4 linked regions of the Danio rerio genome follow. Each later gene encodes a partner of the first gene's protein in a complex. Links are inferred from orthologs where the notes say so. Each region holds a gene or a part of one and is shown in the gene's direction. Other genes may lie near its edges. The genes, in order: pigq, pigh, pigc and pigp.

Region 1 (5,813 bases):
AACAAAAGAGAAAAAAACATTAGCATTGACTTTTGCCTTGTGCTTTGTTTATTTGATTTTGAAAAACGTGTAAGTCTGTTAGGGGTGCACAATATATCGTTTTAGCATCAATATCACAATGTGTGTAAGCGCAATAGTCACATCACATAGATATGCAGTGTTGATTTGGGATTATAGTTGAGCCAGTGTCACAGTTCAAAACATGAGATTTGTTGAATCACTGCAGAAATTAAATATAATGGAGTGACATTTATAATTTGCATGTTTTTAAGGCCTAAGAGACATTAAGTATTCAGACACAGGACGTTTTACCAATCGGAAGATTAATTATATTGAATTATTTATACAGTAAAGACTTTGCAGTGTCATTTTTACATTTACAAAACCATAAAGCATGTTTATTTCACTTTTATTTTTACATTATTCACTCTTCTACTAAATCATCCCAATTAATCAAAATTTATACATTCGGTAACATTTTAGGGACCAATTCTCATTATTAACCAGTAGCTTATTAGCATGCATGTTATTGAGATATCGGCTGTTTATTAGTACTTATAAACTACATTTTCTGCATAATCTTATACTTCATCCCTAGTCCTACCAATACCTAATCTACCTTAATAACTATTAATAAGGAGCAAATTAGGAGTTTGAGACAAAAGCCATATAATTAAACCATAAAATAATAATAATAAATTATTTTCAAATAAGTGCTATTCAGTCTTAGGAGAAATTGTATAAATTTCACACTATATATTGCAATATATATTACACTATATATATATTGCAGAAGAACAAAATTTTGCAATGTCAGATTTTTCCAATATCATGCAGATTCTTAATCCCTATTTTAAAAATCAGTTTAATGAAATAAAACACTCTCTGAAGTTAAAAGTATTTTAAAAGTAAATTTCATAACATGTATAAGTAATGATTATTGTTCTCATTAAAACAATTTTAAGTACTCATCAATACTCAAGGTAATTAATCTTGCATTAATAAAAAGGTCAAGTGTCCTGATATTTTAAGAGACTTATTTATTATGACAATTGTTGCATTGTAAATGCTATTCTAAAATAAAAATCTACATTCATTCTTGTAATGAAACATTTTGATCTTAATGTTTAGATTTGTTTTTACTTGTTCTTCAAAATATTATTTAGAATGAAATGCAATATTAGAAATCATTATAAAAATAGCATGTTAATTACTTAAATGTTTAACTTTTTAATTAGATTTTTCAATCAAATATAATCTCTTAACTCTTTCTTTTTTTCACTCCTCTGCAGAAAAGCAAACATCTTTGTGTCTTTCCTTGTGGACATAGCCTTTGGTTTGCTGCTCATCTCATGGCTGTATAGGGAGAATCGTATCAGCAAATTAGCCAATACTCTGGTACCTGTGGCTGATGTAAGTATGACAATATATTTCCATTAAAAAGTTTTAGGGTTACATTATTTATTTAAGTCTCTTTGACTAGGCCTGTCACAATAATCAATATATCGATTTATCACACAACACATGGACATGACCTCAATCTTTTTTGCCGATGCAATATATATTGCCCAATGCTTGTACATAAAAACCAATTCTAGCAACATTTTAGCTGATTTCGCAACATCTCTATTGGAGGTGCCAATGTTAGTATGGTTAAAAGAACTGCAATATTTACTTTAAATAACTGTACTATATTTTTATGTGGGTGCCTGAACACTGAAAATAGATCTGGCAGCAGATATTGCAGCCTATGTTACTCGTTACCTCGCACTTTTTGGTTAATATTTATTATTATTTATTAAAGATATGTGTTTTCACATTCTGATTCCAATGCCTAATTATTAAATTGTTAAAATGACTATAATTATAATAAATATTCTTCAGAATAAAACATTATGTGTTTTTGGGAAGAGTGTACTTGCATTGTGATGCTATTATATTGTCATTTTGGCAATATGTAATGGCATAAAATGGTCTTAAAATGACAGTAATATAGTTTATTGCAATATATTTGGTGCAATATATCATACAACAAAATATATATATATATATATATATATATATATATATATATATATATATATATATATATATATATATATATATATATATATATATATTGTGACAGGCTCTGTCTTTCACTTCATTTTATTTATCTTTGATTCATTTGATTAAAAAAGTTAAAAATATTACAACAAATAAAATAAATAAACATTTTCTTTTCATTTTGTTTTCTTGGTTTGCAAAGCTGTTTTTAAACCCATTAGTCCAGAATAAAATGAGGAAAAAAATATTAGCTTCACTTAGGATCAGTTTACATATTAAAATAAATATACATGCATAATGATAAAAAAAAAAATTGGGTTGTGTTTCAGCATGTGGCCAAAGAGCTCCAGCAGCTGTTAGAATGGCTGATGGGAGCTCCTGCTGGACTGAAGATGAACAAGGCTCTCGATCAAGTGCTGGGGAGGTTCTTTCTTTATCACATTCATCTGTGGATCAGTACGTACAGCCTAATTTGAAGCATTCTCTTGGTGTTTCAGACTTATGCCAGATTCTCATGATATCTTGTGATTTGTGTGAACAGGTTACATCCACCTGATGTCTCCTTTCATTGAGAGGATCTTGTGGTACGTCGGACTCTCAGCCTGCTTGGGGCTGACTTTTGCGCTCTCCATCCTGTCCGACATTGTGGCCCTCCTGACTTTCCACATCTACTGCTTTTATGTGTATGGAGCACGGTGAGGTTTATTTATTTTCTCTATATTACGTTTTCTAACAAACTGACTGCATCCAAAATCACATGCTTTAGACTTGGTAAAAAAAAAGTGTGTGAACAAAGTTGTAAGTCTCTATTTAGAGGACTCATAAAGATTTTTTAGTCTTTATTTAGTGGTAAGAAAACAAATAAAAAATTTTATATACGAATGCTGTGTACTTTTAGTGAACAACTTGACGCCATATACACTATTGAAAATAGTATTTAGATAAATTTGTAACAGCAGGTTTTCCTCTCAAAGACATGTATTATTGCATACAGCAGATTTTTTGTGCCTGTACACTATGCGATTTCAGCTGCAGCCAATGGGCTATATGCATAGCTAGTTGTTCAGCCACTGATAAGCTTGTGACTATTTAGAATTTCATAAGGTTGCTTTTACAGTATCGATGTAGCAATGTAATTAAAATATTATCAGTTACAGGGACTTCAGCGTTCATTTATATGTTCTGGGCTAAAATTGGATGAAAGTTTAAACAGAAGCACCATCAGGAGCTGCAGGCGAGCACAGATAATCCATTGAAATTAATGTGGTAAAATAAATTTCCATAAGATTTAAAGATATAGCATTGAACAATGGAATTTAATGCAGTGCTTCTTGTCCAGTCTGAGACACACTTTTTATTGAATATCTATCAGGCAGTGAAGAATATTGATTTCTAAAGAAACTAGATCTTAATTGTGATTTTGTAATGGCATCACAGTTCACCTGAAGCGTTTGAGTATGCTTACTGAAAATTCTAAATCTGAGTGCATATACCCCATTGTATCTGTAATGTTTTTACACTTTGATTTCCAGTAGAGGGCAGTATCAACTTCTATAATTGGTCCCTTTAGCAAGAAAACTGAACGTCCAAGTGTACAATGTACAAGTAGAGTTTCACAGAAAACAGAGGTGAAATAGGAGTTTGTGTTTCATGAAAGAAAAAATATATTGTTATTTAAAGACATCAGGCTTGATATCATTTTTGAGTGTAGTTTTTTTTTTCAAGGTTCTTTCTTAAATCTGTCTAAACCTTATAATTAGAGTTCTGAGTCTTTACTTGTGCCCCCTATGGAGTTATTTTTGTTTCTTTATTATTTAAAAAAAAAAAAGTTTTAGGGTAAATAGTTAATAAAAAATAAAAGATTGTTTAATTAAAAGAATTGTTTAACAAAAAAACTTATGTCAATGATAAAATATTTTGGATCGCAAAAAATTATTGTCCTATTATGCAGATAACACAATTGTCCTTCCACACTCATTCACGCTCTCTGCTCTGTTGCCATTTACATTCTACAATCTTTGCTTGTGATTTTAAAAGTTTTGCTTGGTGTGGAAAAGTTTTGAACCCATGATATGAATTTTTCACCAAAATTAGGTGCATTGTAATTAAAAAATAAATGATTTAAAGTAAAAAAAAAAAACATTTAATTAAAAAATGTCATTAATAAAAAATGTGCACTGCAAAAAAATGCACATTTCACCGGGATGAAAGGCCTTATTTTATTGGTCAATCTTGATTGAGGTCACAGGTTGGCCACACCCACTATGTTTTCGCGCAATTGGAATTGGACTGGACTCCCTTGACATAAGTTTTTTTAATTAAACAGTCTTTTATTTTTTAAATTACTATATACTTATTTTTTCCCTTAAAACTAGATATTTTTATTGAATAATAAAGAAACAAAATTCCATAGACCCTGGGTCACAATTATCAGCTTTTTGAAATTAAGACTTTACTTAAAAGCTGAATAAAACAGCTTTGTATTGATGATTGATTTGTTAGAATATGACATTATTTGCCTGAAAGGCAACTATTTTGAAATCTGTAATGTGAGAGTAAAAATAATATTGGAGTTATAGTTTCAACTTGTTCAATTTTAGTTTTTAGAAATGTATATATCTCATTACATGTAGTTTAGATATGTTTATGGTAGGACATTTTTAATAGTCTATAACATGAAACAAGATCTTTATTTAGTATACTAATGGTTTTTGGCATGAATTTGACCCATACAATGTATTTTTCATATGGGTCAGTTGTATTTTATATAGGTCAGATGTATAAGTGGTAGTGCCCAACTGAGTCTGGTTTCTCTCGATCTTTTCCTTTCCTTCACTTTTGTCAAGTGGTGAAGTTTGTTCCTCGCCACTGGCTTGCTTGGTTTGAGACTTGTGGAGCTGCCCATCAATGGATTTCCTCTTTAGTGTTTGGACTTTCAGCAGTAAAATTTAAACCACCCTGAACTGAACTTTGAAAACTGGACTTACACAGTTTCAATTTACTAGAACTTCTATGTTAAGCTGCTTTGGCACAATCTACATTGTAAAAGCGCTATAGAAATAAGCTTGAATTGAATTGAATATTCCTATGAGGTTTAGTGATCCTGGGTAACATTTTCATTTTACCTTTGACATTATTCTATTCTTTGAGTACTGCAGGGTGGTTTCTTTATTTGTGAAGTGTTTGTTCTTCTGTCTTGTCAGGCTGTACTGTTTGAAGATCTACGGTCTCTCCTCGCTCTGGCGACTCTTTAGAGGAAAGAAATGGAACGTTTTGAGGCAGAGGGTGGACTCGTGCTCATACGACCTGGACCAGGTACGTCTCAGCATGATTTATTCATGTATTGGCCATTTAGTTCATTTCGCACAGAACTCGACCGATCTCTTTTCTTTGCAGTTGTTCATAGGGACTTTGCTCTTTACAATTCTGCTGTTCCTGCTGCCCACCACTGCCCTCTATTACCTGGTCTTTACCCTGGTGAGTCACTCCAACATAAACTTCAATCTCATCACTATTCCAGCAGAGCTATTGGACCATTTTATGCAGCTCTCTGACATTTTCTGTTACTCAGACCATCAATTCAGTGCTTGTGAATGCGACCATTAAGATGATCATACACCAGCTCATATGTCATTAAACCTAGTTTCCATAATGGTTAGCATGTTTTAACTCTTGATAATATTCTGCTAGTCCTATACACGCTACTGATTAACATGTTGGGGTCAGTAATGTTGCATAATTGTTTGTATAAATGTTATTCTTGTGTT
Region 2 (6,318 bases), on another chromosome or scaffold:
GAGGAGCAGAATTGACTTGTGTATAAAGGAAAACTTCTATGAAAAGTTTAAGTACCTGCATGTCTTCATTTTCATCCACTAGAAGAAAGCTGGTGACTTTCTCCAGTTTGGCTTTGAGCTCATCCAGCTGCTCGTCTCCGGTGCTGCAGTTGTTCTCCGGCGGTTTAGAGGGAGGAGGGTACGCAGTGAGAGGGTGCTTTCTTTTACTGACCCCGCTGTGAGTCCGTTTTTGACAGTCCAAGCACAGGTTGATTTTGCACCCTTGACATCGAACCACTGCTCTCAGCCGACCCCCGTTCGGCACCCCTCCATCACCTTTACACGAATCGCAGTAGGGTACGTGGCCAGGAGCGATTCGGATCCTGTCGTGGTTCCTCATGCGGTCCTGACGGTGGAGCTCCAGCTCGCAGCGGATGCACTGCAGGCTGCCGCATTCGTCGCACTCGAAGGCGGCCTCGTCCGTGCCACCGCAGGCGTAGCTCTCCTGACAAACCAGAACGCCGTTCAGCCCCTTCTCCGCCGACGAGCCCTGGCCGCTCATTATACGTCCAAATATAATAGCGAGGTAACGGAAGCGAACGAACTTGAACGGAAATTTCTCTGAAAGTTACTCAACTACAGCAGAGAGCAACCTAAATGTACAATCAACTACTGACACGCTATATAATACCTCATAGATAATGCATTTAGCGTCCTAAACAATATATCTCACTCGTCTGCTGTGAATTTCATTGGAATTCAAAATGTGATGTCAAATTATGACACTGGCTTAAAATCAAATATTCAATATGAACTATAAATAGATCAGTTGACATCCGTGTAGCACTGGCACTAGGACAGATTGTCGAGCTTTCTAATTGATTTAAAAGTGTTCAAGCGGTCTAAACTGACAATCTACAAGCCATAAGTATCGAAATGTTTGTATTGGCAGACATAAACACTGAGAAAACAGCTACATTCGAGTGTTGTTATCGCCCTGGGCTTTTGTTACTCAAGCTAGCTACGATTAGCATACGTGACTGGGCTGTCTCCTCTAGTTTCAAAGACTAAATACTAGTGGGGTTAGAAAATATGACTTCTGTATCTGAATTAATAATGGTTTAGTATCGTACAGTCCTTAAAGTATGTTCACCCAACAACACACACTGATCAACAGAGCTTTGACCGAACAAAACAAGCTGATTTCGAGCCAGAATCACACCGCAGTTTTCAACAAACGAGCTGCTGAATTCCCTCAAACATCGCACACGACAACGACTCTGTCATAAACACAAAAACAATAAGCCGGTTGATGTGAAGATAACTGTTTTTGCCCACCAGCTTGTAAAATGATTCCCCTCCCCGGTAGATTCGGGTGAATGTTGTTGCCAGGTCAGATCAGCTGATCGGCTTGTTTTCACTGGAGCGGGAGTCAAAGGTTACCGACCGCAGGGGCTGATGGGAAATGCAGTCAGATCTCATACATTTCCTAAAGAATCGATAATGCAATGGGGAGAGGTCATCTGAAAAATATTTCAAAAACAAAATGGTGGTAGAATACAATTTATGGGAATGTACTAGGCAGTTTTTTTATTGTAGGCTACATTTATTTGGTCGATTATTACCTTCACATTGCTGGTGACAAAGACACTAAAATATAAATAAAATAAAATACTTAACATTTTAATTGTTACTCAAGTTAATATAGTCTTACTGCATAATCTAATAACATCAAAACAGTTAGCGTATTTCACATGGCACTCCGGGGGTATCCTGCTGTTCCCAGGCCAGCCGAGAGCCGTCCTGGGTCTTCCCCGAGGCCTCCTCCTGGTGGGACATGCCTGGAACACCTCCCAAGGTAGACGTCCAGGAGGCAGACTTCTCAGCTGACTTCTCTCGATGTGGACAAGCAGCGGCTCTACTCTGAGCTCCTCCCGGGTGTCAGAGCTCCTCACCCTATCCATAAGAGTGCACCCTGCCACCCTTCAAAGGAAACTAATTTTGGCCTCTTGTATATGAGATCTTTTCCTTTCCGTCATGACCCAAATCTCATGACCACTGGTGAGAGTAGGAACGTAGATTGACCGGTAAATCGAGAGCTTTACCTTTCGGCTCAGCTCCTTCTTTACCACAACGGACCGGTACATCGACTGCATTACTGATGACGTTGCATCAATCCACCTGTCAATATCACTTTCCATCCTTCCCTCACTCGTGAACAAAACCCCAAGAAACTTAAACTCCTCTACCTGGGGTAAGAACTTTCCTCCAACCTGGAGGTGCAAATATTACTAATCAAAAATTTTATTATTTACTTGTATTTATTTAAAAAAATATATTTTTGTGAAACATAGCTCAGTAAATAACTTAATGAAAAAGATCATTTAGGCTTTTACAATGTACTTTACAGTGTACTTGTTTTCACTGGAGCGAGAGCTAAATATTTTTGTGCAACTGGTTTTGTGGTCCAGAATGGGAGTTTTCAACCCCAGTCCAGTAGATGGCGAAAACGCACCTGTATGTTATTTTGCCAACGTCACATTATCATAAGAAGAAGATGGTTTTACTGTTGGTGGAAAAATAATAATCTAAGCAAAACTATTTATTCTGAAGTCTTTATTAATGTAATTTTCCGACCGCGAAATAACCAGCAGTGATCGAGATGGCCGACGAAGAGTTCACAGACATAAATGGCAACTGGATTTCTTTAGACTGCCAAACGCACTCTTCTTTCTGCAGAGAGTTTACTGTTACCTCACCCAAACTGTCCTTGCGCAAGGTGATGGTGTACACCTGCTGTGTGTGGTTATTTGCTTATGCTGTGTTCTTCTTCACCCAGGTAAGAACATTTTATCATGCGGACTATGAAGGCCTTGGCGTCTTTTGCTGTTTATTAGACAAAAAATGACTGTTTATTGGACTTTGATTTGACATTGCGCGAAAACGTCTATTATACAGTTGAAAACAAATTTATTAGCCCTCCTTTGAAATTGAACTTTTTTTTACTAAGTTATTTTCCCAAGTTTTCTTTAACGTTTAGAGAAGATTTTATTTAAAAAAAGAATTTAATGATAACATAATTATTTTGTTTTTTGCCATAATGAAATTAAATAATATTTTACAATTTATTTTGCAAAATACTAGTAATATTAATCTAAAAATGCAATTTAAAGGCTTAACTGGGTTATTTAGGGTTAACTAGGTCAAATCATTGGACAACAGTGGTTTGATCTGTAGCCAATATTTAATATTTCTTAAGGGAAAAAAAATACATATTTAAAATGTACGTCCATATAGTGAGGAAACAGAAGTAGTTTACGTTGTCATTTATAGTGCATTTATTACAGCTGCTGAGTGCAGGTTAAAACATTTGATTGTGCATGAGGCTGTATTTGGAGATCAAAATAAGAAAACAATATATAGTTTCTCTGAAAAAAAAAAGCTTCTAAAAAGTGTAAATGAAAAGTATATTTGGAAATACTGTAAATATTTTCCTTGCTCTGTTAAAATATCCATCGGCAATTATTCTAAGAAAAAGGATTTTACAGTAAGGCTGATCATGTGGTCTTCAACTGTATTCAGTGATTTTATCACATGAGCCAAACCATAAAAAATGCTTTCTTTACCCATCACAATATGCAATTTTAAAGAAGATAAAACCAAAATACAGAATATGTTGGTTCAATAAAGTCGTATCCCTCTAAATCCAATACACTCAGTAACCATTTCATTTGGCAGGATTATAGTCGAACAGGAACCCAAATTAATCATGTTTGTGTTTTTAAGGCCTGTGATTGTGTAAGCATGTAAAGCATTCATGCATAATGAAATAATGAAAACTATTTTACATTTGATTACTCAATTTGAGTACCCGAATACTGCTAGAAGGTTGTTGTTTTCATTCATCGCTTTGCTCTACTGTTTTTATCAATACTTTTGATTGATTTATTAAATTTGATGCAGATACACTCCACAAAATCATCATAATCAATGTAAAATTATGTAAATTCTTTCCAAATAGAGCTATTCATTTCATCTGGTGAATTTATTTACAGAATCTCAATGTGTATTGACAAAAAACTAAATACTGCAATATCAGCTTTTTCCCAATATCATACAGCCCTAGTATATATCTCAAAATTCCACTTAGTACTAAGCAAGAAGAACTTATTCAGGAATTTCCAACATGGCTGCGATTGAAAGTTTGATATTATAATAGAATATATGAAATATTTTCGTGAATGTCAAGCAAATGTTCAATATAAATCTAACCTAATTGCTCTTATTGATCTAATATAATTCTCCTTCTGTTTAATATTCAGAACACGGCGGTTCTGTCAAGTGCCATCATCCTCACTTTAGTTGGGATGGTGATTCATATTCACTTTGTGAAGGTGGACCATGAGACCCTTCTCATAATAGGCTCTCTGGGTGTCCAATTGTCCTCGTCTTACGCCTCTGGACGAGAAAGCACGACTTTCATTGAGATGAGCAAGCTGAAAGACATCGTCATAAATGAGGCTGTTTATATGGTAAACACACAGTGACCTTCACGCATGATAGATATCGAGATGTAAAAATAATCAGTGTTTGTGTTTTTGCTCCTCAGCACAACATCATATACTATCTGTGCATTCTCATCAAGGACCCAGCAGATCCTGAGACGGTGACCAGTGTTGTTCCTCTCTTCCAGGTTCAAAACAGCTGTTGTTATTCATTCGCAAAAGCAAGATTATAGGAATTTGTGACATCTCAGTATGTAAATGAACACCTTTGGTTCTTCCTCCAGAGTTCAAAGCCTCGGCTCAATTGTTTGATTCAAGTGTACAAGAGCTGTCAAGAAATTCTAGCACAGAGCAGATGACGCAGAGGTAATGCTTCATGTTTTGCTAGATATTCTGCATGTTTTACATGACTGACATAGTTCTGTGTCTATATATGCTTTATGACTCCATGTTTTTCGATCAGCAGAGGCTTTCTTTGAAGATGAATGAAGATTGGAAAACTCCAGAACGAATCATAAGCACATTGTTGGTAGCTTTTTTGTATTGTCAGTAATACACAATGCATTTTGTTACATGCAGAAGTTTTTAGATAGGCTTCGCATTCAAAAACGTTTGTACATAACAGTATTCTTGCCTCATTTAAAACATTATTTAATGATTAGCCATTTAGTTTTTTAGGATGTGTTCACACTTGTTTTGCATAATTTTGTTAAAAAAAACTGACAACGGAATATTTTCAATATATATTTTAATATGAAGACTTGAATAGATCTATTCAGAAATAATTCATTATTTTAGATTGATTAGGGTGATTATTGTTATTATTATTATTATTATTTTCCATTTTAGGGGAGCACATTTGGATCAAATATAACAAATCACAAGAAAAAATAAGTACAACAGAAAATACAATGGTCTATGGTTCACTGGTGAGACTAACAATACAGAAATAAATATGACACTGAAACAATTACTGTATGGTATAAATATTTAAATACAAGTAATCTTTGTTAAAGCTACAGACATAATTGCTTAAATGCTTTTAACAGGGTGTCCCCGAGGTCTTACAAAGTAATAAAGTGTCTTAAATTTCAAAAAACAAAATTTTAGGCCTTAAGTTTGAAATTCACTGCAATATTGTGCTGCGAGTCTTAAATCATTTTACACAGGTCTTATTTTACTATTTCCATTTAAAGCTACCCTATCGGGCTGACACCCAATCACCAATAATCAGTCTTAATTTTTTGGTTCATATTTAGTTTTTTTTATTGTTATTATTTTTATTATTTAAAAAGATACATGTCACATAAGCTGTTAGACATTTTTACAGCTAATTAAATTCCCTAATCAGGGAAAGAAAACTAAAGCAACGCATCCTTTTACATGATCTTCCATTAATACAAAAACTATTTACAGAAGTAACCGGGCCATTCAAAATTCTTAGTGTTTAGAGCTGTATCAGTCTAAAATTTCACTCATATGCTTTTGAAAGGGTCTTAAAAAGTCTTAAGTTTGACTTGAAGAAACCCTGTTTAAAACCCTTTTTTAGAAATGCCTTAAAAACACCTGGAAATAATAAACAATAAATTTCTTATGATTAAACAATAAAATTCGGGGTGCTGGTCAACCATAATACAGACTCAACATTGTAGATCCTGCGATGAGACAATTGCAAATGTACACATTGCGATATTAATGCTGAAATGATATATTGTGCATCCCAGCAAGTGGATCAACCAGATAAATCTTGGTGCATTCCCAAAAACACAAGATGTGACTATTAAAAGGATTGATTGATGAATTATGTTCATATTCTGAACCCATAGTGAAACGG
Region 3 (6,338 bases), on another chromosome or scaffold:
CCACAATGGGAATCTAAAAGTGTGTGATATTAGAGATGGACCGAATCTTTGGCCACTGAAAATTTTTTGGCCGAAAATATGTTATGCTGTTTAATCGGATCCTCTAATTTTTGTGACTTCAGTCCTTGTTGGGATACTCTTTTAAAATCTTAAAGCATTAACAACTTAAAAATATATTGTTATCGTTCAATATGGAAAATGATTTTCGAGATGACATTTTTGCCATATCGCTCAGCTCTACAAAGGTATGTGTAAGATTTTTTATTTGCATTTTTTTTTTGTTTGTTTTGTTTTTAGGACAACAGTATCTCCATCTCTCATACATAGATGCTGTTTTTAATTGTGAAGAAGTCTGTTGTTGAAACTAATGAAGACAGCAAAAGTCAATGATTGACTTGAATTATTCAGCCCGTCATGTTTACTGCTCCAAAATATTGTAAATGTTTCTCAAATGAAAATATATTGTGTTCAAATGGGAAAAAAGTTCTTGTTTTTTACCCAGACATTTAAAAAGAACAGATTTTAGAGCATTGAGCAGAATACCATGAAACAGTAAAACTGTGCTATTTATATCCAAGGTTATTACACCGTCAGAATCTTATACCGGCCCATGCCTACAAGTAAGTTGATTTATTTAAGTATGGTAAAAAAAAATGATTTCTCTCTCTCTCTGGTCTATTTCTGTGTTTCTACAACAACACTTTTCCTCTGAGAGTGTCTGTCCTCTAGGATCTGCTGCTCTTTCTGCTCTGCTCTGTGCTTTTCTGTTTGTCTATTGGTCAGACTGTTTTGTGCTTCCAATGTAATAGTGGCTTCATCATAGTTGCTCAAGTTAGTTCATAGCCTTTAACTTGATCTGACTCTCATTCATTCATTCATTCATTCATTCATTCATTCATTTTCTTTTCAGCTCAGTCCCTTTATGAATTTGGGGTCACCACAGCAGAATGAACCACCAACTTATTCAGGATATGTTCTATGCAGCAGATGCCCTTCCAGCTGCAACCCATCACTGGGAAACATCCATACATACTCATTCACACACATATGGACAATTTAGCTTAGCTAATTCACCTGTACTGCTGTAACCCATGCAAACACGGGGAGAACATGCAAGAAATGCCAATTGGACCATATGGCTTGAACCAGCTACCTTCTTACTGTGAGGTGAACGTGCTACCCACTACGCCACTGTGCAGCCCTTGATCTGACTCTGCACAATTATAAAATATAGAAACAATTATTATTACTATTATTATTATTATTGACTTAATATAAAGGATGATATATATATATATTACATTATTTTAGTTACTGATCTTTTCTCGTTGAATTTCTGATCTCATATCACCACCTTCTGGCCAATATCTAGAACTACATGTTGATTGTGAATAGGTTTGATGCTTTTTTTTTTTACATCTGAATGAATGAATCTTAGCTTGGTGTTTCTATACGTTCGTTGATGGACTTTTATTACAACTGTATGAAATAAATCCTTCATTTTAAAGCCAATAAGCTGTTTTACTCAGTATTAAAGTGCTAAACTAAAAATAATTCAATAATAAATAAATAAATGTCTCTGTCAATTTTTTCAAACTACTGTATTTAATTTACCAAAGTCACACAAGTGGCAATTGTACATCTGTCACATCCATTATGGAGACATGTCACATCCAAAACGACACTTTTTCCTCATGAATGAAAAAAAATAATTGTAGAATAAAATAAAATCAATCACATTTGAGGAGTCCGCTACAAATGAAAGAAGCCCTGTGTTATACAATATTGTTTGAGTCAAATTATTTTAAATACTCTAATACTGAAGTATTAGTGTAATATTAGTAACTAAAATGAATGAAAATAAATTGTTTGTGTGCAGACGGACTCCAAATATGATTATCCACTAATGAGGGTCAAACAAATGTAACAATAACTCAAATTACTAAACACTGTTTTTTTATTTAAATTTTAGTCATATGCTGTTACAAATTAATCAAGAGAGGATTACCCATAGACTATATAAATATTAAATGTATATGCATCTCACTTTTCACTCGTCGGCGGTTGTGAGGAACAGTCGTCAGGTGGCGCTCTTCAGTCAATACCACGGTTGCGCTTTTGTTTTTGTTTTTTGGTACGTCACTTCCGGATGTATGATGGCTTGACAGCTGCGGCTAAATACAGGAAACCCTGCTCATTCGGTAAGATTTTAGATTTATCTTGAACATTATTCTGTATAAGTTTGATATGAAATAATATATTTTGTCTGTATTTATACACTGTCGCCAGCTGGCTTACTGTATGACTGTATGATTGATTCATTCTGTATGAATCAGATTGACGTGAGAAGCTGTCAGTCAGATACCGCTTGACATTTAGGATAATAATAGATTGATTAAATGCACGTTTTACTTACACAAAGATAAACAATGCTGCTTAAAGTTTTGTGGTGTTTAATGTTTTTCTTTATATATAAACTATGAAGCAAATACATGATATGTGGAGAACAGGGTGTAGTTCACGCAAAAATCTAACTGGCCCCTCTAATTGGTTTTAAACCTTTATGAGTTTCTTTCTTCTGTCGAACATAAAGAAGATACTTTGATGAATGATGGATGCTGGGACCCATCTACTTACAAAGGCAAAGCAATTGCTATTGAAGTCAAAGGGTGCCAGGTATCAGCTAGACATGGCGTCACCTTATAAGGTTCTATTTGACATTTTTGTCAAAACTGAGTTATTGACATATTCTTACTAAATGACAACTTATTTACATTATGCGATGTTTTTTTATAAGTTGTTTACATTTTAAGATTTTTTATTTAAAAAACAAATGTTACACACATACTGTTTGCTATGCAATGCAAAAACTTTGAAGCTCAATATTTTAAAATCATTCAGAATGCAGATAAAACCTTATTATTCTAAGGTGACGATAGGCTGGTTTAAGATTGTGATGTATGATAACCTTGGATGAAAATATCACGGTATTGCTATTACTGCTCTAAAATAAATTCTTTTTAATCGTCTGGATAAACAACAAACTTTTTTCTACCTTTGAACACAATATATTTTATTTTGACAAACTTTTAAAAATATTTTGTAACAATAAACATGTCAGGCTAAATAATTTAAATCAATCTTTGACTTCCTCCCTCTTGATTAGCTTCAAAAACACTGATTTATTTATAATTTAAAAATGGCATTTTAGGATATCTTCTGCTGGAGATACTTATGTCCTAAAAACATAAAAACAAACAAACCTACATAAACCATTGGAACGGTATAGCAAAAAAAAAAAATTTAAAACCTTGATTTTTCCAAACCGTGGTATACCTTGAATACGGTTATCAACCCATACGTATTACCAGCATTCTTCAAAACATCTACTTTTGTGCTCAGCAGAAGAAAGAAACCCAAACAGGGTTTAAACAAGTGAAGGGGGAGTAAATGTTGACAATAAAAAAAAAATTAAGTGTACTTAAAGACCAATGAAAATTTCTCAGTTTCTCTGGATGTACTGAATTTACAAATTGTTTAAAATATTAATATAAAATATTGTTTTCTTATAACATTTATTCCAAATTTAAAATCTGAGTATTGTCATTTTAGAGCCCACCCCACCATTGTTGTGAACATTTTCCATTGTTGTGATTAACAACCTAGGTTATTAATATTGGTTTCTTATATTTGGTAATATTTTGGTAATATTCGGTAATATTGGTTTCTTAACTGGCCTAAAATTGAAATTGAAGAAAAAAAGAAAAGAAATTGAAAACACGGAGCAATCGCTCGCTTTTTTTAATGCTTAATAGTAATAATTCTGTTTAATCCCGCCCCTTTTCGCATCGCCATACGACAGAATTTTGCACACACAAACTCTAGTGTGACTGCAGCTTGAGCCCAAGGAAAATGAATGAATGCTCGTAATGCATTATGATTTATGCAAACTCACTGCATAGAAAATAATTTTCTGTGTACCTGAGTACCATTTGGAGTCCCATATGAGATTATTTTCACCATTGTATTGTAAAATGTTACTCTACCATGATGCCTGTTTGACAACAATGCAGAAAGTTATACAAGATCATCGCAGGATATCAGCAGTATTATTGGCTGGATTGCCTGTCAATCAAACTACCTGCAAAGGGTTAATTGCATCATCAAAGCAATAAAATAATAAATAAAAGAAAAACACTTGATCAATCAGTCGATCTAAATTAATGAAATCTTTCCAAATAGAAGTATTCGATTCATCTGGTGAAACTATATTCGTGTCACAAAACAGTGGGGGAAATAAGTATTCCACACATCACCTTTTCTTTTCAGAAAACATATTACTAAAGGCGCTGTTGACTTAAAATATTTCCCAGATGTTTAAAACAATCAAAAAAATCTAAGTATGCAAAGACAACAAATCTAATTATTTTACAAATAAAGTTATGTGTAATAAAAAAAATGAAGCAGGGAAAAAATATTAAACACATGAAGATAGAGAGGTGCAGAATGACAATAAAAGCCCAGACAGCAGCTGAAATCTCTCAGTAGTTCTTCAGCAACCCCCTTTTCTTCGCCATTGTAAATTAATATCAGCTGCTTCAGTCCAACATCTACATTAGCAGGATGATAAAAAGGAAACCATAGCGGAAATTTCAGCAAAACAATGATTCAAAACACAGCTAAGAAAAGAGAAAGAAAATCAAGCTGTAGAATGGCCCAGCCAATCACCTGACTTGAACCCAATAAAAAATACAAATTAAAGATCAGATTTGAAAGATGGGACTCACATAACCATTAAGATTTTTACACAGTGTTGAAGTCTCTGAAGAACTCACACCTTAGCAATTCATGTGACTTCATTCTCCATATGAGAGGCGTCTTTAAGCTGCCATCATCAAAAAAAGCTTTTTATATGAAGTATTTCAGTAGTTCAACACTTCTCCTTGTGTCATTCCATTGTTATTACACATCACTTATTTTTCAGATGTGTTTTATTTTATTCTATTTTAATATTTGTATTGTTTGAGTTTTTACCAAAATCAGGATCAATCTCATGTCAACAGCTCCTTTAGAAACATTATTCCTAGATAAAAACATGTCATGTTCAATAGAGAATTCCTAATGTGGCAGCAAAACTAAAAATGAGCAATGTCACATTTTTTCCCAATATCATGCATAGCTAATGTTCAGCCACTGTGTTCTCTGATTTGGACAGGCGATGGGAGCAGACAGCGGTCCAGGGGCTCCTTCGGCCGTCCCGTGGAGGAAAGTGCTCTATGAACGGCAGCCTTTCCCAGACAACTATGTGGACCGGCGTTTCCTGGAGGAGCTGCGGCGGAACATCCGCGTCCGCCAGTACCGCTACTGGGCTGTGGTTCGCGAGACAGGCCTTATCGCCCAGCAGGTGTCCTGCGTGGCCCTCTTTCTCACACTGTGGTCCTACATGGAGCAGGGTGAGCTGGAGCCGTCTGCCGTGTTATGCGTCTGCCTAGGCTGCGCTCTGTTTGGATACGGGCTCTATGAGGTCCTGGGAGGAGCCAGTGATGGCAAACGGACGCGTCTTGCGGACCTGCAGAGCGCTGCTGTCTTCCTAGCATTTACTTTTGGGTTTTCACCAGTTTTAAAGACTCTGACCGAGTCGGTCAGCACTGATACCGTGTACGCCATGTCGGCAGTTATGCTCCTGGCTCATCTGGTGTCTTTCCCGTATGCTCAGCCCAGTCCGCCGGGAAGTCTTTCTCTAAATGCAGCTCTGTTCGGGTCGGTGTGTCTAGCATCCCGTCTGCCCGGAGCCCTGCACACCTTCACCATGCTGACCTGCGCGCTGCTGGTGTTCGCGCTCTGGCCCTGCCTGCTGCACCGGGTGCGGGAGAAGGCGGACTGGAGCTTCCCCTGGGCGGCGCTGCTGGTGTGTTTGGCCGGCGTCAGGGGTTTGGGAAGCCTTTGGCCCGAGGGAGCTCTTCTTCTCTCAGTGGCTCTGTTAATGTTGACTCTACTCTGTCCACTGCTGCTGGTTCATCTGCAGAGGCACAAGGACAACATTCACGGCCCCTGGGATGAGGCTGAGATCAGAGAGGATCTGTCCCGCTTCCTCAATTAAAACAGGGCTTCAAGACTTTGAGAGTCTTTTCTTAAAAGGACGGATCGCTAAAAGTGAATATTAATTCAACATTTATTCGTTGTATGAGACTTTTTTTTCTTAATGTGGAACTTAAGAGAAGATATTTTGAGAAATGTTGAAGACTATATTTTTTAATTATCTACTAATGTATTACACTGAAGAAACTCATACAGGTTGGGAACAACATGAGGGAGAGTAAATGATGACAGAAGTTTTA
Region 4 (6,469 bases), on another chromosome or scaffold:
AAATCATGAAGCACGCTGTGTTTACTTGGCAGCTTTGTTCTGTTGTGCACGTTTAAGCTTGTAAAGTGTTTTTAATACTTTTTAATTACCACACTGCCTGCAAATTAATCACAATGTAAAATTATAATTTCTTTCAGAATAACAGTTGTTTAAATGATCTAATAAAATTACATCTAATCACAATCCATCACATAAAAACTAAATATAGCAATGTCAGTGTTTCCCAATGCCCTGCAGACTTACTCTACACACATTTCTGCCATTTTTCTAGACAGAGTGTTGGATAGTCAGAAATGTCAGCTCACGCCTCTTTAAATCTATTAATATTATCAGAGATGATCAATATAAGAATAGACTCACTACACACTCAGTTTGAGCACTGTTGTCCACTCACTGTAACGCTTCTGTCCTCGCCACTGCTGTGAAAGCAATAAATGACTGAAATATACTCACAATCTTGGTTTTGTGCCTCTGAACATTGGGTCCTTCCTCCAGATCTGAGTCGTCACTGTCTGACATTCTGCTTCACACACAAAATCAGGAAAATCAGCAAAAGATTTGCATCTCGATGGGGGTAAAGGTGTTTTTACATTCGCAGAGAGCATTCTCAGCCCATACGACATAGAGAAATCACATTGTCAGCCAAATGACTGTCGAAGTACATCAGAGGTGCTCAACCCTGCTCCTGGACATCTGCCTTCCTGCACACTTCAGCTCCAGCCCTGATCAAACTCACCTGAGCAGCACTGCATAACTACAGGCAGGTGTGTTTAATATGGGTTGGAGCTGAATGCTGTAGGTAGGTGGATCTCCAGGAGCAGGGCTGAGCCTGAAGTACAACAGTTCAGTCAATTAAACAGTGCTAATGTTCAGTTCCACACCCAATATTCACAGTAGCGCGGTGAACAACATATGGAGAGGGTCACAGATTGTCACAAGAGTTCAGGAATGAGTGGATGTGTCTAACATTATATAAACCTAGTAAACACCAACTGCACAGTTTTACAGCAAACATCAGAGCAGCCTCGCTTCCCATGATGCACCTCGGGGAGACACACCTGACCCAGAGGCTTCCATTGCAAAACCACGAGCTGTTTACTGTCTAAACTGACACAAACCTGGCCAAACCTCTCCTCAAACCCGAGCTGTGCCGTGGTAAAGCTGAGGTAAACTCTCCTGCTCGCTTTATCCGCAGCTTCGCCTCAGGAGTTCAGCTTTTCTCCTTCAGCTCGTGTTTTTCTGCCTCTAAAAGGCGCCAAACTCGTCATTTCTCCGCCATTATTGAGCGTTTAATCTCTTCTCCTCTAAAGATCAGCTCGCACATCTGTAATTATCGCACTGAAAGGCGCAAACTTTACCAGGAAGTTGAACGCGACGCATTCTGGGCTGGCAGACGCTTTACCTGTGTTGATGACACGCGGGGCGTCGCGGAAGTAAGAACACGCGCTGCCGCAGCTAACCGTCCATCAGTCGTGAATATTCGGGGAGAAATGTTTATAAACTGACCTGATTCAGAAGAGCAGCTCCACTGTTTCCTGATGTTTAACCTCACGCATCAACTGCAGCGCGAAACTGACGCGGAGTAAGAAGCGCGCCCTCTGCTGTTCGCCCGCGCGAGTGGCATCAGCGCGCCCTCTGCTGTTCACCACTAGAAGGGATACAGGTGTTGTCCGAAGTAACAACTTGTTTTTACTTTATTTTAAATTAGCCATTAATTGTATTTGAGTTAATTGCACATTGTATTGACGTCTACCTACCCCAACCCCAAACCTCACAGCAATGGATTAACAGAAATTATACCGAATATCACTCATATTATTTATTAAAATGCTCATTAAACTGTATTGTATTACTACAACCCTCACAGTAATGTAAAAACAGTAATTATACAGAGTATTATTCATATTATTTATTAAATTACCCATTAAACTGTATTTAATTATCTTCTACCCTCACAGTAATGTACAATAATCAATATTGTTGTAGTGTCGTATAGATTGTGCTATACTAATGTGAGAATCCGCAGCTGTATCCCTTCTAGACGGAGTGACGTCAGCGCGCCCTCTGCTGTTCGGCCGCGGACACCAACGTTTGTCTTAAAGGCACAGCTCACCCAGTCATTTTAATTCTGTTGTCATTTACTGCCTTCTTTAGTTGTTTTACTTGAACACTTATACGCTTCATTTTAACTGCTGAACACAACAAATATTTAACATGTACGGTAAAGTACATGCTCTTAATCTGTCATAAACACACAGAATATCAGACCGAGCTAATACACGCAGATATTAGTGAATGAAGGAGAGAGAGCGTCTTCAAAATCAACATTATTTTTTACAAACAATATTTATATGGAAAATAAAAATCAGAGCATTAAACCAAATAATAGGTGCGCGCGCGTTTGTTTGTCTCCAGGCCGCGCGGGGGCGGCAGGACGCAGTGCGCCTGCGCAGAAACACAAGGAAGCACCATCAGGAAATAAGACATGTATGTTCTGTTTTTCGTTTTATATGTTATAGTATTTATCGAAACTAAAGCGTGTGTGATGTGTTAGTTTGGAGCATTGATGTGTGTGTGTGTGTGCGCGCGCAGGTGTCGCTGCTGGAGATGGTGATGGTGGAGAACTCTCCTTCTCCTCTGCCGGAAAGAGCCATCTACGGCTTTGTGCTGTTCCTGGGCGCTCAGCTGGGCTTCTGTACGTCTCTAACTCGATCTGTACTGATATTGCACACACATTAGCCGCATTTCCACTATCGGGCCAGTGCGAGCCAGGGCTTTAATCGGGCCGGGGCGGGCCAACAGCCCGGGAGGTTGAGAAATGAGGCTGAAATCATGTCGCGTTTCCACTGTCGGGCTAAAGCTCACAGCGCGTCACGCAAACACCGCCCACAGAACGTCCCCGAATCAAACGTCACACAACCCGCCCACTTCAGCGAGAATCAGGCAGATAAAGCACACCATAAATCATCACGAAACGAAACCATTAAAATGAAGACAACCGAAACAAACAAACGACACGTTACTGTACAGCAGTACATGACATGTCTATACGCACAGACCTGTGTATTTCCATTCATTACATTTGTTTACTCGCCGACCGACTGCATTGTGCATGGAGTGCTCTCGCCACTAACGCAGGGACCCAACACAGAGAGCGCACACATCCATAATATAAAGCCACAGAAATTCTCCTTTATAACTCAATATGTCATGTATTTTTTAACATCCTCTTGTTGATAGAAGTCGTGTTAAGTTTTCAGCACAAGAGCGAGTAGCCTAATAAAATATAGCCATATTTGTTGCGCTCGGCAGCTATTCACTAAAACTCCTCATTTAAAGTTTCATTTATAAATTTAACCACGTCAAATAAAAACATAAACAGTTGTTTGAGGATATAGAACACATTTTGTGTTTGGACTTCCCCCATATGCGTTTAAAGCAGCGAGTGCTGCGCAGGACTGAGTGACAGAAAAAAAGGTATAGGAGATTCTGCTTTCACTCACTCAAATAATGCTCTGTTTGCGCGATTTGATTAATATCATCGTATCCAAATACTTTATAAATATTTACTTATATAAATATTTACTTTATATAAATATTTCAAACCTTCTCCGGTGTTTATTGTTTTTAAAAAATATCGAAAATCTTTTTTTTTTTCAGACAGGTCTTTGCAAAATGAAAGTTAGGCTATATGTGGCTTTAAAACGGTTTGATTTATGTATTGTATATAGGCTACCTACATTGTTATAGTTAGCTTTTGTTTATTTTATATTGGTTAATTTATTTAATGTGATTATATATCCGATATTTGTAATTCTTTAAATTATATTTCAATATACCTTAGGCTATTTTATCAAGATATGACAATATATTGTTTAAAGTCTACGAAAGTGGGCACGTATTTTGTTAAGTTTATGTCTTTCTGTTGTATTTATATGTGTATTATCTCCAAAATAAATAAAGAAAAAAGCCGCTCGCGGCATAACAGAGCTGTGAAGGAGCGCTTTTGCCCGGTCTCACACACACATACAGGCATCTAAACGTGCACAAACAAACAAACATTTTAAACTTGACAAAAACTCTCGAAAACTTTTACTGTCTGCTGTGTTTTTAATATGGTGTAAAGATTATTATGCGTTGAAACATAAAGGAGGACGCAGCAAAGAACGTCACTATAAATTAAAACAACTTTATTATTTTATGCAGGAGCCTTACATTTAAAAGGGAAACATAAGGGTGATCATACGCAAAAAGACCCCAGACTATAAGGCTAGATGTTTTCTTTCCCTTATTTCTTTATTTGTTTGGCGCATGTACTCATGTGCGATCAGAAAACTGTCCGCCTCTTCTTTCACTCCGCCCCGAAGCCCCAGCTGGCCCTCCTTGGCCCAAGGTATTCGGCGGGCCGAAAAAGGCCGGCCGCTGGCCCCAAGAAAGCCCCGCTTTGGCCCGATTAGGCCCCGGAAGTGACAGTGGAAACCCCACTGGCCTTGGCTCGCCCTGGCTCGCTCGCTTTAGGCGCGATAGTGGAAACGCGGCTATTGTCCTTTACAGATGAAGAGAGGCTTTAATCCTGTGGCAGAAACATCAACAGAATCTACAGACTGACAGCAGTGTCTCACACACACACACACACACACACACACACACACACACACTAGAGTACAGGGCATTATACTGTCTGTATGTTTAGCTATGATGCTGAATGCTGACTGTAGTAAGAAGTACTGTAGTACACTTCAGTTTACTCAGGTAAAGTGTGGTGTATTGTGCTCTAAAGTTGTAGAAGAATACAGTTCTGACTCATAGATTACTGTAGCTGTTGTGGTACCATAGCAACCGTAGAATCACCACAACTGATCAATTACTGTAGTTTTGTTACCATAGCAACCGTAGAATCACCACAACTGATCAATTACTGTAGTTTTGTTACCATAGCAACCGTGGAATCACCACAACTGATCAATTACTGTAGATTTGTTACCATAGCAACTGTAGAATCACCACAACTGATCAATTGCTGTAGTTTTGTTACCATAGCAACTGCAGAACCACAACAGATCAATTACTGTAGATGTGTTACCATAGCAACTGTAAAATCACCACAGCAGATCAATTATTATAATTGTCATGTTACCATAGCGACTGTAGAATCACCACAGCAGATCAATTTCAGGACTTGACTCAGTCGCTGAAACACTACAGTGTTCACTATAAATGACTTGAGCATTATTTATTTGTTCTGGACTCATAATTGATATCTGAATAAACATGCAGCATGACAGAAAACAGTACTTCTGCTTGACAAACACCTCTATCTTGAAGACATTGCAGCTGCTGGTGTGTTCTTCATCTGTGGTGTTGTGTGTGTTTGTTTGTGTGTGTGTTTGTGTTCTCCATCAGTGCTGTATGTGGTCTGGGCGTTTGTTCCTGACTCTTGGCTCCATGCAGCCGGACTGACCTACTGGCCGCAGAAGTGAGTGGTCTGTCTGTCGTCTGCTCTTCAGATGCTGATGTTTAATGTCTGATCAATCACTCTTTCTCTCTCTCCGTCTGTCTGTCGTCAGATACTGGGCTCTGGCGGGCCCCATATACCTGCTGGTGGCCCTGAGCACCTGTTTCGTGCTACTGTTCGGAGTGAATATGATGAACACGGCTCCGCTGGCCTCAGTGGACAACATCACAGGTGAGAATTCAGACTAACACCACATGAGCCATTAGTGTTTGAGCTGCTGAAGATCATGTCAGCGGAGACTCAGAGCATTATAGATGTGCAGTTCTAGATGAACAGAGACAGGAGCCACAGACTGCAGACACACTCACACTGATGCATACACAACACACACACTGACGCATAGCCGTCTGTAGCTCCGCCCTCTTCTAAAAAGAGCTCAACCTCATTTGCATTTAAAGCGACAGTCACCAAAACACCACAATGAGGATCACAGCCTGAAAGAGTCAGTTTCAGAGAGCTGGAGGACATCAACTGTGTACTGTTCTCAGCTCAAACACACACACACACACACACACACACACACACACACACACACACAAGAGAGAGACACAGCAGAGACGCATTTACAGCTTGTAGAAAGGGGCAGAATAAGTCTCCTTTAATGAGTTAACAGTCTCAACCCCTATGATGAATGGCAGATTAGCAGATTCTGACATTACTCCTCCACATCTGGACACTTGATCTTCACTAAAGTCTCTTGAACCGTCACAGACACTTTCCTAATGTGCTGTCAGCGAATCTGAAGTCTCTTCTGTCAGTCTAATTCACCAGAACTGAACTCTCATGACTGGATGAATGATTCTGTTCTCATTAGACAGTGTTAAATCACACACACACACACACACACACACACACACACACACACACACACACACGTAACGCTGGTTTGTGTGCTGCTCCAGATGCGTATGGCAGGAGTCAGCGGGTGGACGAGGACCAGCCGGGAGCGATCCC

What was found.
Region 2: pigq (region 1) and pigh share a complex: the UniProt entries of both Homo sapiens proteins name them as parts of the glycosylphosphatidylinositol-N-acetylglucosaminyltransferase (GPI-GnT) complex. The link is inferred for Danio rerio from reciprocal best matches to the Homo sapiens genes PIGQ and PIGH.
Region 3: pigq (region 1) and pigc share a complex: the UniProt entries of both Homo sapiens proteins name them as parts of the glycosylphosphatidylinositol-N-acetylglucosaminyltransferase (GPI-GnT) complex. The link is inferred for Danio rerio from reciprocal best matches to the Homo sapiens genes PIGQ and PIGC.
Region 4: pigq (region 1) and pigp share a complex: the UniProt entries of both Homo sapiens proteins name them as parts of the glycosylphosphatidylinositol-N-acetylglucosaminyltransferase (GPI-GnT) complex. The link is inferred for Danio rerio from reciprocal best matches to the Homo sapiens genes PIGQ and PIGP.

What each region holds. Positions count from the first base shown.
Region 1 is NC_133178.1:25,538,212-25,544,024, reverse strand, and holds part of pigq (phosphatidylinositol N-acetylglucosaminyltransferase subunit Q), read left to right. Parts: intron 1-1,292; coding exon 1,293-1,413; intron 1,414-2,375; coding exon 2,376-2,502; intron 2,503-2,587; coding exon 2,588-2,741; intron 2,742-5,249; coding exon 5,250-5,361; intron 5,362-5,442; coding exon 5,443-5,523; intron 5,524-5,813. UniProt on the Homo sapiens protein: Part of the glycosylphosphatidylinositol-N-acetylglucosaminyltransferase (GPI-GnT) complex that catalyzes the transfer of N-acetylglucosamine from UDP-N-acetylglucosamine to phosphatidylinositol and participates in the first step of GPI biosynthesis.
Region 2 is NC_133195.1:31,130,529-31,136,846, reverse strand, and holds pigh (phosphatidylinositol N-acetylglucosaminyltransferase subunit H), read left to right. Parts: upstream 1-2,523; 5' UTR 2,524-2,641; coding exon 2,642-2,818; intron 2,819-4,301; coding exon 4,302-4,511; intron 4,512-4,588; coding exon 4,589-4,672; intron 4,673-4,768; coding exon 4,769-4,843; 3' UTR 4,844-4,850; intron 4,851-4,947; 3' UTR 4,948-5,362; downstream 5,363-6,318. Other genes in the region: zfyve1 (zinc finger FYVE domain-containing protein 1), read right to left, coding at 56-541. UniProt on the Homo sapiens protein: Part of the glycosylphosphatidylinositol-N-acetylglucosaminyltransferase (GPI-GnT) complex that catalyzes the transfer of N-acetylglucosamine from UDP-N-acetylglucosamine to phosphatidylinositol and participates in the first step of GPI biosynthesis.
Region 3 is NC_133195.1:16,064,290-16,070,627, forward strand, and holds the start of pigc (phosphatidylinositol N-acetylglucosaminyltransferase subunit C), read left to right. Parts: upstream 1-2,183; 5' UTR 2,184-2,201; intron 2,202-5,215; 5' UTR 5,216-5,218; coding exon 5,219-6,100; 3' UTR 6,101-6,338. UniProt on the Homo sapiens protein: Part of the glycosylphosphatidylinositol-N-acetylglucosaminyltransferase (GPI-GnT) complex that catalyzes the transfer of N-acetylglucosamine from UDP-N-acetylglucosamine to phosphatidylinositol and participates in the first step of GPI biosynthesis.
Region 4 is NC_133185.1:415,447-421,915, forward strand, and holds the start of pigp (phosphatidylinositol N-acetylglucosaminyltransferase subunit P), read left to right. Parts: upstream 1-2,445; 5' UTR 2,446-2,487; intron 2,488-2,592; 5' UTR 2,593-2,607; coding exon 2,608-2,695; intron 2,696-5,403; coding exon 5,404-5,476; intron 5,477-5,567; coding exon 5,568-5,686; intron 5,687-6,417; coding exon 6,418-6,469. Other genes in the region: E3 ubiquitin-protein ligase TTC3, read right to left, coding at 454-519. UniProt on the Homo sapiens protein: Part of the glycosylphosphatidylinositol-N-acetylglucosaminyltransferase (GPI-GnT) complex that catalyzes the transfer of N-acetylglucosamine from UDP-N-acetylglucosamine to phosphatidylinositol and participates in the first step of GPI biosynthesis.